Linked DNA regions of Lytechinus pictus. The protein of the gene in region 2 binds, or shares a complex with, the protein of the main gene of each other region. Links are inferred from orthologs where the notes say so. Each region holds a gene or a part of one and is shown on either strand. Other genes may lie near its edges.

Region 1 (8,057 bases), on a different chromosome or scaffold from region 2:
TTATCTCTGAGACCTGATATGAGACCTGGAGTGTATCAATCATGGGAATTCTTATCTGAGTTTCAGCAGGGACGCCCTGGTTTCAGCTACAATGATGGACTTTTCATGTCAATATATGGATAGGATGTGGTAGTACTGCTTACTAATAAATTAAGATTCAAACTTTGCACCCTGAGGTGCAGACTGCAAGAGGTGCAAAATGACATCAATAATATAGTGCTCTGATCCCTTAGTACAAAGTTTTATCTTTTCTGCAGCTTCAAAGTGTGTAATAAGCAGTATAACTTACATTTTTGGTTTGGTTGACAGCATTTCCTCCTGTCCCTATGATCTGATCATTATACACAAGGAGACAACCTACTGGGACCTCTCCTCTACTTAGGGCCTGCTTACCCTGCACAAAAGAAAACATATCTTAATTTCTCATAGGGAACTGACCATTGTTCACTACAAAACATTTTGCTACATCTATTACAAGCAATCTAAAGAGTAGACATGGTAGTTAGGGTTTCTGAGTGTTATTAACATCACTAACAGAACTTTTTAAAAATATGTAACCATTCATTTTCAGTCCCATAGTAATTGGATACAAACCATGCACACTGCTTGCTTCATCCATTTTTCATCATAAGCTTCGTCATACAGTTCCATGGTCTGTAATAAAAAAAGATGATAATTTAAATTGTTTCTTTTCATCTACAAGTTAAATATCAATATTATTTTACTAATATTATTGAACTTTGAAGCTCAGTAGAGGCATACGGCCAATGTTGGAGACTCTCTCCCATTCTGGAGATTATATCCTGTACATCAGTATTCAATTTAAAGGGATGGTCCGGGCTGAAAATATTTATATATCTAAATAAAAAGAGTAAAATTCACAGAGCAAAATGCTGAAAATAAGATTAAAATTGGAAAACAAATAATGAAGTTATTGAATTTTAAAGTTTATCCATATTTTGTGAAAACAGTTATACGCACATCGTCATGAATATTCATTTGGTGGGCTGATTATGTCACATCCCCACTTTCCTTTTTCTTATGTTATTACATGAAATCATAAATGTTTCATTTTTTCATACATGTGTAAATGATATTTCTGCATTATGAAATAAGTTGCGGCAATAAATAACTAATGCACTTAATCAGTTGTCAATTCAATTGTTTTAGTTTTTGGTAGAAAAAATTTGAATAAACCAAATTTCATATATAATAAAATACAAACGAACAAGTGGGGATATGACATCATCAGCCCACCTAATGAATATTCATAAAGACATGCCTATAACTGTTTCACCGGAATAATGCAAATCTTTAAAATTCAATAGTTTTGTTATTTGTTATCCGATTTTGATAAAATTGTCAGCATTTTGCTCTGTGAATATTACTCTACTTTATCGAGATATATTTCCAGCCAGGACCATCCCTTTAAGAGCCAGTCTCCACTATGCAAGATTTTTTCTGTTTAACATTTGCGTCAGAGGGATTACCATGGTGGCAAAATTACTCCTCTTAACCATATATGCTCAAGAATTCTCCATCTACTTTTGTTTTCATTTATATTTTGTTATCATGTGGTTTTGACCTAGCTGCAAATTTTGGAGGGGAATTAACTTTCTAGTTCAGTGTTGTTGCCTATCTCTTTTGCAAAGCATGTCTCCAATATCAGAGATTGTCTCCAAAATTGGAGAAAGACTCAAATATCAGCCATGCGCCTCTACTGCTCATATTTCTTCAAAAGGTTAACCAGACACAGTTCGAATCATTTGCAAGAGGAAATCTTAAAATAAATGTTAAGGACTTTGAGTTTGATGTCTCTTTCTGTATCCAGTGTAGATCTAGGCCTAATGTTAGACATGCTAGATGCCTGGCTAGTGTCTAGACTTAGACCAAAAGCTTCGGTCTCTGTTAATGTTATGTTGGTTGTTCCGCTGAACTCGTTGGCTCCACTCACCAAATACAGAGACCGAAGTTCTAGCTCAATCTGTACAGGGACTCGATGGCCATATGTTTATGTATTAAGTTCGGATAAAACTGGGAAATGAAGTTGCGCGACAGCCAAAGTAAGTCACTGTGTTTCCCCCTTTGAAGTTTTTTCCCCATTTTGGTGCATTTCAGGCCAAAACAGAATAATATAATAATCTTTATTTTGGTACAGTTCTTTTTATATATTTTTATGAAATAAAGACAAAAATCGATGAGCCCCGTCGGGGGGATTTTGCATTGTTAACCCCTAGGGCCTATGCGTGGCTGCACGATAGCGAGCCTAGCCTGGACTCTGGTCCTGGAGGCTAGTTTTCTGGGGAGTAAAAGTCATCTACTATACGGAAGTCGTAGGCTTACTCCAGCCTACGTATAGTAGATGACTTTTACTCCCCAGAAGCCTCCACTCCAGTCCAGGCTAAGCGAGCCGTCTGTGTACGAGGAGACATTAAAAAAAAAATGTTAAAAAACTCCTCGAAACAGATGCCTGCCAGCTCAGCAGCTGTCTAGTCTAGACTATACTAGACACTAGTGGCAAGGCATGGATGCTGATCGAGAGATTGAGCTGAGCCTGACTGAGATTTCACAATTAGTGAAACCTCGGCTCAATCTCTCGATCATCCTTGCCTTGCCACTTACCTTAATCCAAAATTAAAAGTTTACCCTCCTCGCACCTATCAAGTATCATGCCTATCTGTCACTCTTGAGTCTTGGCGTCTTGCTGCTGACGTAACGACCCACTGCCTCAGATCAGGCTCAGATACCGGTAAATCTGATTAAAAATACTCGTTAAGAGAATCTCCAACTGGTACATGTAATGTACCGTAGTCAATAACCAACCCGCGGACAACCGCTGATAAGTACATGACATGAGGTGCATATGGCGTCTGGTTGACCGGCCGCGGCAACAGTACCTGGTACAGGCGCAGGCGCGGTTTAAGTACGGTACCGGTACCTGTACCTAGCGTTACCCGGGCCGGGGGCGCGGGCGAGGGATCCCCCGCAACCACACTCGTCTCGCGATCGATCGCGCCCGTCCTTAATTTCTTCCGTATTTTATTATCGCGAGGATACCGTACCATACCATCTGAACGGTATACCCATCTGAACTGAGCTGAGGCGAGCAAAAGAAAACACTGCAAGAATATCCTGCATTTTATATAAGAAGCCGGAATAGCCAGAATGAAATTGGTAAGAAAACCTATCCGACCTCCTGCCGTTATGTTATTGTTGAAGTGTGTGTTTGTGTGTCTATTAGTTACAGCCAATTAATGATCAGTCAGCTATCAATCATTCACACAAACAACAACATGAATGCTAGCATGTGGGGCTATGTTAATCCAGCAGATTCAAAGGTTCAGTGGATGATCCTGATAATTCATCATCATCATCATCATGTTACGAGGTGAGGTAATCCTGTTGACCTCGATCTCTTCATCTGAAAATTGCAGTCCATCTCCATACGATGTGTTATTACGTCATAAGTCATAAGAACAAAAACTTGCACACGTGTAGGGTAGAGACGGTTTTGATCATTTGGACTTGGAGATTGAAACGCTCAGACCACCAAAACTTATCGAGTCTTAATTTGAATACATCGATGGAGCCTGAGTCAAATAACTTCTTGGGGGAGGCTATTCCAGTCATTCACTACCCGGTTACTAGTAAAAACGCATTTGCGTATGTCGAGTCTTGATCGTTCTTTAAATATCTTTAACGTATGACCTCGAAGATGTGAATTATAGGGACAGTGATTTTCCGTTTCAAAAAATTGCCTTTTCCGTTTCAGAAAATCTCAAATTCCGTTTCAGCATGTCAGAAAACGTAAATTCTGTTTCCCCATAGACTTTGTACACACGGAAAAGTGACAATTCCGTTTACACATTGAATAGCAAAATCACAACACGTACACTCGCACTGGTCAAAATTTGTATCTGCTACTAGCCTGTACCAACAACACAATAGAATCTGTTCTAATCGGATCTATGCGGGTGCATAAAATATTTTTACAAACCCATTTAGCATGCATACATCCTCACCTTTCACATCATTAGCATTATTTCACGATGAAATGATATTTCATCGATAATTTTGGGGTTTTTTGGACATCGTTATCATCAGTAAACGGCTTTTGCCAATCCGCCATCTTGGATTTTAAGACCACGATATCGTGCTGTTACATCTTCTAAGGTAGAGGGCAGCAACACACAACCGTGTAGTTGAACGATATGTGTGCATGTGAAGCCCAACCCGGCCGGCCGGGCGCCGGGTACGGCTACGGTGCGGGGTACAATCGAGTGTGGTGATGTCGAGTGCAGTCACGACGTGTGAATTGTCATGATAGTAGCGAAGTGAGATCGTGTTTTCTGGGGTTTTGTGGCCATTTAATATTCTCATTTTGTTGTGATTTCGGAGTAATTTCTGTTGCTATTCTGTGTATTTTTAGGGAAAATACGTTTTCCGTGATTTTCCGTTTGAAATGCCACTTTCCGTTTCAAAAGGCCCTTTCCGTGAATTCCGTCCGTTTTCCGCGATCGCGGAAAATCACTGTCCCTAGAATTAGTTGATGGCAAGAAAAAGTGACTTGAGTCCATCTTGACCATTCCTTTCAGTATTTTAAATACCATAATGGCATCGCCTCTCCTTCTTCTATAATACAGGGAGTGTAAGTCCAATACTTTTAATCTATCTGAGTAGGGGAGTTCTTTTATCTCCTGCACCATCTTAGTTGCTCTTCTCTGGACTTTCTCAATTTTATCCGCATCTTCTTTCCATTGAGTGTTCCACAAGATGTTGCCATACTCTAGGTGTGGTCTTACCAATGTCTTAAACAAAATTGGTAGGGTCCTTGTGTCCAGTTGAGTGAAAGTCCGTCTGATGATACCAAGGAGCTGATAGGCTTTGCTTACTTCCATTGATATATGCTCATGAAATTTGAGTTCCGAGTCAATCAATACTCCCAGGTCCTTTTCTCTGGTAGATGAGGCAACTTCATCTCCATTCATGTGATATTTATCTTTCTTGTTATTTCTCCCAAAGTGAAGAACTGTACACTTATTCTGGTTGAAAGGAAGTTGCCATTTTTCAGCCCACATGGTAAGTTTGGACAGGTCTGCCTGTAAGGCCTTGGATTCTTCATCATTCCCTACTGCTCTGTACATCTTAGTATCATCCGCAAAGAGTAAGATCCTGGAGTTTATGTCACTAGGCAAATCATTAATAAAAATGACAAATAGGATTGGCCCGAGGATACTCCCTTGCGGTATACCACTCTTAACATCTGTCCAAGATGATGTCACTCCATTTATAGCCACTCTTTGCTTTCTGCCTTTCAGGAAGGCACTAATCCAGGCAAGAAGAGGGTTCTCAATTCCATAAGCTTTCAGCTTCAATAAAAGTCTTTCATGAGGTACTGCATCAAAAGCCTTCTTAAAGTCTAGATATAAAACATCAATAGGTTGGCTATCGTCTAATATCCTAGTCCATTCTTCAATGACTTTGTTGAGTTGTGTAGGTAAATTGTTCACTGCTTGTATTAACTCTAGGCTTTCCAATTATTTGGAATGTGCAGGAATTTTAGGCAATGAGCAGGCAGGGTTTAGAGAAAGTCATAGTACCCTTGATCACATATTTACATTACATGGTTTGATCGATTTGTATCTACACGATGCGAAGAGAATTTACTGTGCCTTTATTGACTACAGAAAAGCCTTTGACCTTGTTGACAGATCTAGTCTCTGGTCGAAGTTGATTTCATGTGGTATCAATGGGAAGATTATTAGTGTTGTTTATAATATGTATGAAAATGCTAAATCATGCATAAAGTATGGATATAACATTTCTGATTTCTTTACCTGTAATATCGGAGTGCGTCAGGGTGAAAATTTATCTCCTTTGCTCTTTGCAGTTTTTCTTAATGATTTTGAATATTTTGTTAGTCGGTATTATAAAGGCTTAAATATGTGCTCTTCTCTAATAAGGGACTACCTGAGCAATGATGATGTGGAAGTTTTCTTACGACTATATGTTTTATTATATGCTGACGATACAATAATATTGGCTGAGTCGGCTCAAGAACTTCAGTCTGCTCTGTCGGCTGTTCATCAATATTGTGAGCAGTGGAAACTTTCTGTTAATACAAGCAAGACTAAAGTTGTGATTTTCTCACGTGGAAAGGTTCGTAAATATCCAGAGTTTTTGTTTGGGGATACTGCTCTTGACGTCGTAGAGGATTATATTTATTTAGGTACCACTTTTAATTACAATGGCTCCTTCAAGAAAGCTATGAAAAAGCAAGTTAATCAGGCTAGGAGAGCAATGTTTAATCTTAAAAGTAAGGCCAATGTGTTGAGTTTGCCTTTGGACATTCAATGTGAATTGTTTGATCAGCTGGTGGTACCAATTTTGTTATATGGTAGTGAAATTTGGGGGTTTGGTGATGTAGATTGTATTGAAATGTTTCATAAGAAGTTTATAAAAAGCCTCCTTGGACTTAGTCGAGGGTCTGCGAATTGTATGGCATATGGCGAATTGGGAAGAGTCAGTCTGCTTTATATTATTGAAAAGCGTATGATAAATTTTTGGGCAAGGATTCGTCAAAGTGTAAATGGAAAATCTAAATTGTCAAGTATGATTTATAGGCTTTTGCGTCAACTTCATGATAGGGACCTTTATAAGTCACCATGGATAGTAAAAGTGAAAAACATTTTGGATAGATGTGGGATGTCTAACCTGTGGAGTGTTGAGAATATAGTCTTGGACGTTAAGTGGGTTAAGTCAACTGTGAGTCTCAGATTGGATGATATTGCTAAACAGGAATTGAATACTGAAATTAATAGAAACCGTTTGTGCATGAATTATAGGATATTCAAACAAGATTTTGGGTTTGAGAACTATTTAGTGAAATTAGATTTTGCAGATAGGATTGAACTCTGTAAATATCGTTGTGGAAATCATAGATTGCCAATTGCTAATGGTCGTTACCTGCCTAATCAAGGTTTGCAAACTTGTACTCTATGTGACTCGCATGAGCCAGGAGACGAGATTCATTATGTGTTTAATTGTCCTGCTTTTGAAAGTGAAAGGAAAGCTTTAATTAGAGGGTATTATTTTGTCAGACCAAACGTGATTAAAATGCACAAGTTGTTTAATATGCGAAATACAAAAGACTTGAAAAATCTGTCAAGATTTTGTAAATTCATTATGTCAAAATTTTAATATCTTAAGTGTAGTTGCTGTCTTGGTTACTTTCTTGTATTAGGGCATGATTTCAGATTTTGTTGGATTGCACCTGCACATGCTAAGTGGGGTACCGGTCTCCAGATACTCTCTGGCATGTCGGGAGTGGGTGGGTTAATTTGTGCCCGTTTCTATTTCTATTACTGCTCTTGTATTGTACATATGTTTATTATCATCATGTTTGATTCTTGTTACCTTGGTATTTTTTTCTTATGCCTATTATTGCCATTGTTGTAAGTTGTTATATTTCTTCTATGCCCCCAGGAGGGGCCGTCAAAGAAATAAAATCATTGTCATTGTCAGCCGGGCAAGGCAGGCGGCAAGGACGAGTCCAAGACGCCTAGCTTTGCTGTTGTTAGCGTTCGTGCAACCGCGCCGGCCGACTTCGTCTTCGATCTTCGAGCAAATTCCCCACCTGGCTGGGCCTTGGGCCCGTTTCCCAACACTGTCAGAAAGTCTAACTTCTTCTAAAGAACTAGGCATTGTCGCCTATACTTTTAGGCATTACATTGCAAAAGCCAAGGACAAGCAAGAAGGAATATTAGAAGAAAGGTTGATTTGAAGAAAGAATTAATTAGGAAAGAAAAGACCCCCAAGGCAAAACACTTGGATGTCTTTTTAAAGATAGTGCACATTACATACTTAATGTAATAAGGGTGTCAAAAACACTAAAATATTGAAAAAAGGGTATCTATTTTCGCTAGGAAAGCTACGTGTCGAGTGTTTAGGTCAAATTTGCGAGGGTCTAAAAATTAAGACTAAATTTTTTTGTAAAGGATGTACTTTTTGCCCCAAGTGTTTAGAGTATGATTTGTGCAAGGTGTGGGGGGTGAGTG
Region 2 (7,104 bases):
CTCATAAGAACTGTACCCAGGCTGGGGATCACATCAGAGGCGGTATCCCTCACAGGCTGGTAGGTGGAGTCATCATGGTATCGGTCTAGAGGACATTGGAATTCCTCATCCTGGACAGTGGTGGCTATGGCATCAACCACAAAAGAGCTGGAGTGAACAACACCATGTTGGTAAATATGGACATCTGGGGGGTGTCCTTGGGGGACCAGGGCATCCTCAAGCTGAAGAGAATGTGGTGGATCCTGACGTAGATCAGGGATGGTACTTTGCTCAAAGCAGTCCATGGTGAACTTCCGATCAGCACCTGGATCAATGGCTCTAGTTGGGTTAACTGGAGATAACTGAATGTGAGACGATGGCTCGAGCATATACAGGCGCAGTTGATGTGTTGTCATGTCAACGGAGGTACTGCTCGCTTGGCTGATAGCGAGACCGGCTATTCTATCATTCGTACATGCGAACCGAACGGAGGTATTGTTAGTTTGGCCGATAGCGAGATCGAGAACGGCTATTCTATCATTCGAACATGCGAACCGAACGGAGGTATTGTTAGTTTGGCCGAGAGCGAGATCGAGAACGGCTATTCTATCATTCGAACATGCGAACCGAACAGAGGTATTGTTAGTTTGGCCGATAGCGAGATCGAGAACGGCTAGCCTATCGTTCGAATGTGTGAATCGAAAACGAGTGCCTGTATGTGAATGGTGCATGCACTGTTCGGGCGTGTGATGAGTGAACAGTGTATCAGAGCGCAAGAGCCTATCAGCCCCGTCAATGCAGGTAGAAGTTGGCACAATCTGGAAACCAGGAGTACTGCCAGGGATAACTGACAAGTCTTTGCACGTTTCATCTCTCTCTGATGAACCAACATAGCGAACATTGCTATCAACAACATCACAGAAATTCAACTGATCTTTACTCGCACCAAGTGTGCAAGTGCCTGATAACATATCAAGTGAAGGGGGATCACATCCCAGTCCAACAGTGAGTTCATGACCTTGGAAACGATCAGGCTCCGATAAACAATCATCATCGGTAGGAATACCCGGATTACATACCACATCATTGTGAGAACCATGATCATCATTAGCTACATGCATTGCCGACAACTCAGCAGCGCAACCATCAAGATTAACAGAATGTGTTACAAGGTCGGTTAAATCTAAATCTCCGGACGATATAGCTCTAGACCCATCTAACTCAACGCTAAACCTCGAAGAATCGCTAGTGTGAACAGGCCTACTCCAATCACCTGTCACTCCAATGTTACAACCATAATGAAACACGTCATGACTACTTCTTCCATCTTCTCGCAAAGCAATGTCATCAACATCACGACTGGGGATACCACCTTCGTCTGCATGTACAAAGCTAAACTCCTTGGCATTGTCTTTACGTTTATTTTCATCACTTCCATCATCAGATCTCAACTCATCATTAACATTGTCTTCATGTTTATTTTCATCACTTCCTACATCACATCTCAACTCATTATCATTGACATTGTCTTCATGTTTATTTACATCACTTCCTTCATCACATCTCAACTCAATATCATTGTCTTCGTGTTTATTTTCATCACATCCTTCAACGAATCTCAACTCATTATCATTGACATTGTCTTCAAGTTTATTTTCATCACATCTGAACACATTGACTTCATGTTTATTTTGATCACTTCTAATTCTATCATTACATCTGAACTCATTATCATTGACGTTGTCTTCGTGTTTATTTTCATCACTTCCTTCATCACATCTCAACTCACTGACATTATTTTTCTCACGTCCTGCATCATGTCTCAATTCATTGTCATTCAACTCATCTTCACAACAATCAAGATTTTGAGTTTGACTGACATGATATTGATAATTGTCATTGGCTAGCATTTGTCTGTCGAAACCAAAATGTATGCAAACAAGATCCCATATGTCTGCAAGTGAAGTGGACTTATTTACAATAGAACCTCTGGCGATAATCGGGCAAGAAGCTGAAATTTGCCCCAGCATGAGTTCCAAAACCACAACTTTCTGAGCGGCTGTCTTACCGCCAGCAACGTCAAAGGAATCGTCAACAAAACCCCGTACGGTATTTGCCTTCGACTTCCTTTGCCATGAAATACTCTCCGATAGAAAAGGCAAAAAATCAGTATATGAACACAAATTCATCATTAAACTACGCTTCCACTCTAGGAAGGATTCGGGAGTCTCGTACCGACTCAACCTGCGCAACTGTGCGGGCGCTTCCGCTGACTGCGTCATCGTATCGTACTATACGTGAGGCTATCATTATCAAAGCGTTACCTGTGTGTCGCTAACGCTGATGGAGGGATGAATCAGCCAGTTCAAATTGCAAAAATCACTACAGCTATAGTCCTAAACTGTCGATGCGTGACCCAGTTTTGGCCTAAAAATTCCTATGTGGCAGGGAACGAACCTAGCGCTGACACCACGACAATAAAAAGGGAGAAATTACCACATCAGATTGGGATGCAAAATGAACACCTTTATTCAACAAGGCCTAGGCTGAACATGCCGGCTAATATTTATACAATCATATGGTAGCTTCAAACAAACCAAACACAAACATTGGCGCCCGTTTTTTGTCTCGCCCGCGGCACATACCCACTACGTTTTTGGTCGAGTGCCCCCCCCCCCCCGGAAAATCGGCCCCTGATATTTACTCTCCAGGAGGCTCCAGACTACCCCCCCCCCCACCCCCCTTCATCGTTCCATTATCCATACCGCCTTACCGGTACCTTCTTCGAATTCGTCGACCTTAAGTTTGGATTCACACACTCTTCTCTTCTTAATTATTGGATGATGATGATCATGATGTGCAATCGTTGCTGATGATCGAATCGATCCAGGGCCTCCATTGTTGGCCTCCATACCATTGACTAGTAATTAGTATAACAAGCAGCAGCTAGCTACTCGTAGGGTATCTTTGCGAGGAGTAATCGCACGGATACTACGCCGCGGCCAGCGGGGCGCCGGCGCGGCCGGGCCGGACGCGTCGCGTCATCGGGTAGGCCAAGGTGCGCTGGGCTCGCATTCAGGTAGAGATCTTCGAGCTTTACGTGCAAGCAGCAATATGGGGTTGACGCGCGTGCATAAAACTGAACATGACGAACAAAAAGACTACGATGTAAGATATGGGTGGATTCATGACACAAAATATTTGGGGGTGTTTTGTTTCGGTAGCTAGTGGGACATAGCATACCGTCATTCGTTTTCCCCTTTCATTTTCAATATAATTATGAAAACAAATAAAACTGTCCACGTCATTATTCGTGCACTCCCATTTTGACAATTGTGTTTTTTAATTGGATAGAATGCTTCATAACCAGGCGCCGATCCGGGGGGGGGGGGGCTGAAGGCGCGATATACCCCGTATGATTTTTTAAAAGAAATAAAAAGAGAGACAAATTGACAAATATAGGTGAAAACCTTTTTTTTTTGCTTGTAAAATTTCCAAAGGGTAGAATGTGCCACCCCTTAAAAATCCTGGATCCTGTAGCACCCTAGTTGTAAAATTTCTCGATTCGCGCCTGATTGAACTGGTAGAAGACAAAATCGAGAAGTCCTTAATTGGACATAAAAATGGAGGATGGTGACGAGTGGCGTGCCCCAGGGGTCAATCTTCGGTCCCAGCCTCGGGCGTCAATATTTAGTCATATTTGTATATCCTGTTCATGATTACAAAAAGTGCTGTGTCAATTTTTAAGGTCGGAATGTCAAAAAAATTTAGCTCGCGCTTCGTGCGCTAGCATTATTTATTTTTTTTAATCAGGACTTTGACGTAAACAGCAAGGTAGCTGATCTGTTACCCTGTATAAATATTTTTGCTAAATAAATAAAATGAATAAATTTCATAGTTGAAATATTTCTCGTCTTTATGGCTAACTGCAAACAGTCCGTAACAGGTCCCTTCTCGATCAGGCCAGAACGTATTTTAAAAAATTCTGCTCGCGTTTCGCGTTCGCAATATTTAAATAGGACTAAAATATATTTATGTAGTTTTAAATTAATAAAGCTATAAAGTGACTGTTAGGACTATACCCCTTCAAATAAACACACAAAATCTTACAAGATTTTGGCGATGACAAATCCCTACGTTTAGTACATTGCAAATGTTATATCCCCTGCATAGCATGAGAGTATGCATACGTCCATTTATGAATTGTATGATACAAATTATTTTTTTAATATGGTTATAGCTGATCATGACCCAATCAAAAATCCTTTGAATACACTGGCGTGAATGTTGGGGGAAGTTTTACTATCCTAGCATCTTTTTGGAAGCGGGGGATTTTGGACAAAAATATAGGCTAAATCAATGTCACACAGAGGCAAGTTAGGACACCGATATTTAAAAAATATTTACAATTTCATCCGTTTATTGGAGACCTAAAATCACATTAATTCCATAACAATCTAATAAATATTTCAAATATTAATTTTATTCAAATTTTTCAATGTTGCATCATCTCCAAATATAATCTTAAAAACTATTCAAAACCTTTTTTTTCTGCAATATGTTTCTTTTGATTTGCACGATTGTGGTATTTCCACCTTTTTGGAAGTTTATATTGTTGCCTGTAATACCTATAATCATAAAGTACCCTTATTCCCGATTCATGATCCATTCTCATCTCATCTTTAACCAGTGAGCAAGTGAGTTTTCATTGAACAAAATATGGACAGTTACTACTTACTACCTACCATTTACTTCTATGCTCACTCGTTGCATCTCTCCCACTATATCGCACACCCCTTGACAGACGATTTTGTTCATCATTCTGCCTTCCAACTATCATAAAAAATTCTCCCTCGCTTCGCTCGCTCTCATATTGATATTTACTGTAATTCATTATATATTCCAACAAATCCATTACAATAAATCCATTGGAAAAAATCATGATAGGCCTTTAACTGAAATATGATAATATGAATTTACAGTATATACGTATACATTGCCCGTGATGTGATAATTACACACCACTTGAAAAGAGGTTTTGGACACCCTTTTGTCTCCCTTATACTACGGAAAATTTGCTGGCTCCCTTCGCTCGGTCGCATATTGGTATTAATTGCAATTCATTTAATTGCAATTCATTACTTTATAGCCCAAAAATCGTTTTAGGCCTTAAACTGAAATATGGTAGTATTATGAACATGCATGGTTATAATACCCCCGTATACATCCCCCCTTGGTGTGGGGGTGTCCCAAATTTTTTGAATTTTCAGGTCAATATATTGCAATCATCCCCCCATGCACTGCTCGGACCGGATATGTGACTCTTCACGTTTACAGAGCTAGTGCAAAAGCTTCACGTTCGCGTATTCTGGGGGTGCTTTCGGGGCCCGGGCCTCCCGGGTTGGCAAAAAAGGGGGCTCCAAAAAGAAGAAGAAAAGAGAAGAAAACAAAAGGGGTGAAAAAAGGAGGGAAAGAAGAAAAGAAAGAGAAAGAAAGGGAAAGAAAGAGAGATGGGGAAAAGAGGGAAAGGGGTGCCGGATTGATATTCGAATGGATGGGGGGGGCCTCAAATTGATGTTCGACTTAGTGGCGTAGATTTGATGTTATAGGGGGCGCCGAATTTATATTCGACATAAGGGGCGCCGAATTTATGTTTGACATAGCGGGCGCCGATTTGATGTTCTACCAAGGGGCGCTGATTTGATGTGTTACCTAGGGGGGGGGGGGGCGCCGAATTTATGTTTTACTAAGGGGCGCCGAATTGATGTTCTGTTCGACATAGGCTGGCGCGGAATTGAAGTTTGGCATAGGGGCGCCAAATTGATCTTCAACCTATATAGGGGGGTGCCGAATTGATGTTCGACCTAGGAGCGCCGAATTGATGTTTATTGGAGTTCGACATAGGGGGCGCCGAATTGATGTTCTGTTCGACATAGGCTTGCGCCGAATTGAAGTTTGGCATATGGGCGCCAAATTGATCTTCAACCTAGGGGGGTGCCGAATTGATGTTCGACCTAGGGGCGCGTCGAATTGATGTTTTACTTCGATGCGCCGCATTGATGTTCGACATAGGGGGCGCCAAATTGATGTTCGACCTAGGGGCGCCTATATAAGAGCACCAATTTGATGTTTGTCCCGAGGCGCCAAATTCATGTTCAACCTATATAGGAAGGGAAGCCGAATTCATATTCGACCTTTGGGGCGTCAATTTGATGTTTGTCCTGAGGCGCCAAATTCATGTTCAACCTATATAGGGTGGGGCACCAAATTCATATTCGACCATTCAGGCGCCAATCTCATGTTTGACCGGGGGCGCCAAAATCATGTTTCACGTGAGTTTGGTGCTCGCGCTCGTATCAAATGCAAAGTTCGATGTCCATCCTGTTTATGATTACCAAAAGTGCATAGAAAGTCAATTTTAGGTCAGAATATCAATATTTTTCAGCTCGAGCTTCACACTCGCATCAATTATTTTATAAAGATGCATCCATTCCTGTTCATGGTTACAAAAAGTGCTTAGAATGTCCAGGTTTGGGTCGGAAATTCAAAAATTTTCAGCTCTTGACATAAATATCATCCCCTTCCTGATTAACAAAAGTGCTTACAGACTTTCCAAATTTGAGGTCAGAATATCAAAAATTTTCAGCTCGAGTTTCGCACTCGCATCAATAAAAAATTGTTTAGATACCCATCATGTTCACGGTTACTAAAAGTGCTTAGAATATCCGATCTGGAAACATATAGATGAAATATCTTCCACTCCCCCCCCCCTCCTATAAACGAAAGCTGGATCCGCCCCTGGTAAATAAATGTCAGATCCCGCTCACATAATCTCCGTAGGGAATGCTCTGATGAGAAGCAGAAACCCCAAAGTGCTTAAAATTCTATGCTTTCAGGGGGCCGTTTCATAAAGCTAATCGTAAGTTAAGATCGAGCGACTTTAATAACTACTGGTGATCCTTTCTTTTTAGAGCGTAAGAAAGGTTCACCAGTCGTTCTTAAAGTCGCTTTTAACTTACGAACAGCTTTATGAAACACCCACCTGGTCAATTTTTTTTTCAAAAAGTGGTATGACAACATATTCATGGATGTTTTTTTTTCATGCACACATTAAAAAAGAGTTCT

The links.
Region 1: the proteins of probable inactive tRNA-specific adenosine deaminase-like protein 3 (region 2) and tRNA-specific adenosine deaminase 2-like are in contact, whole or in part, in a crystal structure (PDB 9HMM), measured with the Mus musculus proteins. The link is inferred for Lytechinus pictus from reciprocal best matches to the Homo sapiens genes ADAT3 and ADAT2. Residues at the interface, in NP_001094076.1 of Mus musculus: Val217, Ala218, Pro220, Leu221, His223, Ile229, Asp230, Ala233, Gln236, Gly237, Glu270, Ser272, Pro274, Val276, Val290, Met291, Met294, Ala295, His298, Ala299, Pro311, Asp312, Leu318, Phe319, Val321, Arg324, Asp326, Leu327, Asn328, Pro349; in NP_080024.3 of Mus musculus: Val62, Asn63, Lys66, Asn67, Ala68, Thr69, His71, Met74, Ile77, Leu81, His85, Pro91, Cys107, Ile108, Met109, Ala112, Ala113, Leu116, Met117, Arg130, Phe131, Val137, Leu138, Ile140, Asp144, Leu145, Pro146, Asn147, Thr148.

Annotation. Positions count from the first base shown.
Region 1 is NC_087245.1:1,542,473-1,550,529, forward strand, and holds the start of tRNA-specific adenosine deaminase 2-like, read right to left. Parts: upstream 3,025-8,057; 5' UTR 2,658-3,024; exon of another isoform or gene 2,623-2,657; intron 655-2,622; 5' UTR 652-654; coding exon 595-651; intron 395-594; coding exon 290-394; intron 1-289. Other genes in the region: integrator complex subunit 9-like, read left to right, coding at 3,166-3,174. UniProt on the Homo sapiens protein: Probably participates in deamination of adenosine-34 to inosine in many tRNAs.
Region 2 is NC_087251.1:23,066,489-23,073,592, forward strand, and holds the start of probable inactive tRNA-specific adenosine deaminase-like protein 3, read right to left. Parts: upstream 3,121-7,104; 5' UTR 2,892-3,120; coding exon 2,753-2,891; intron 1-2,752.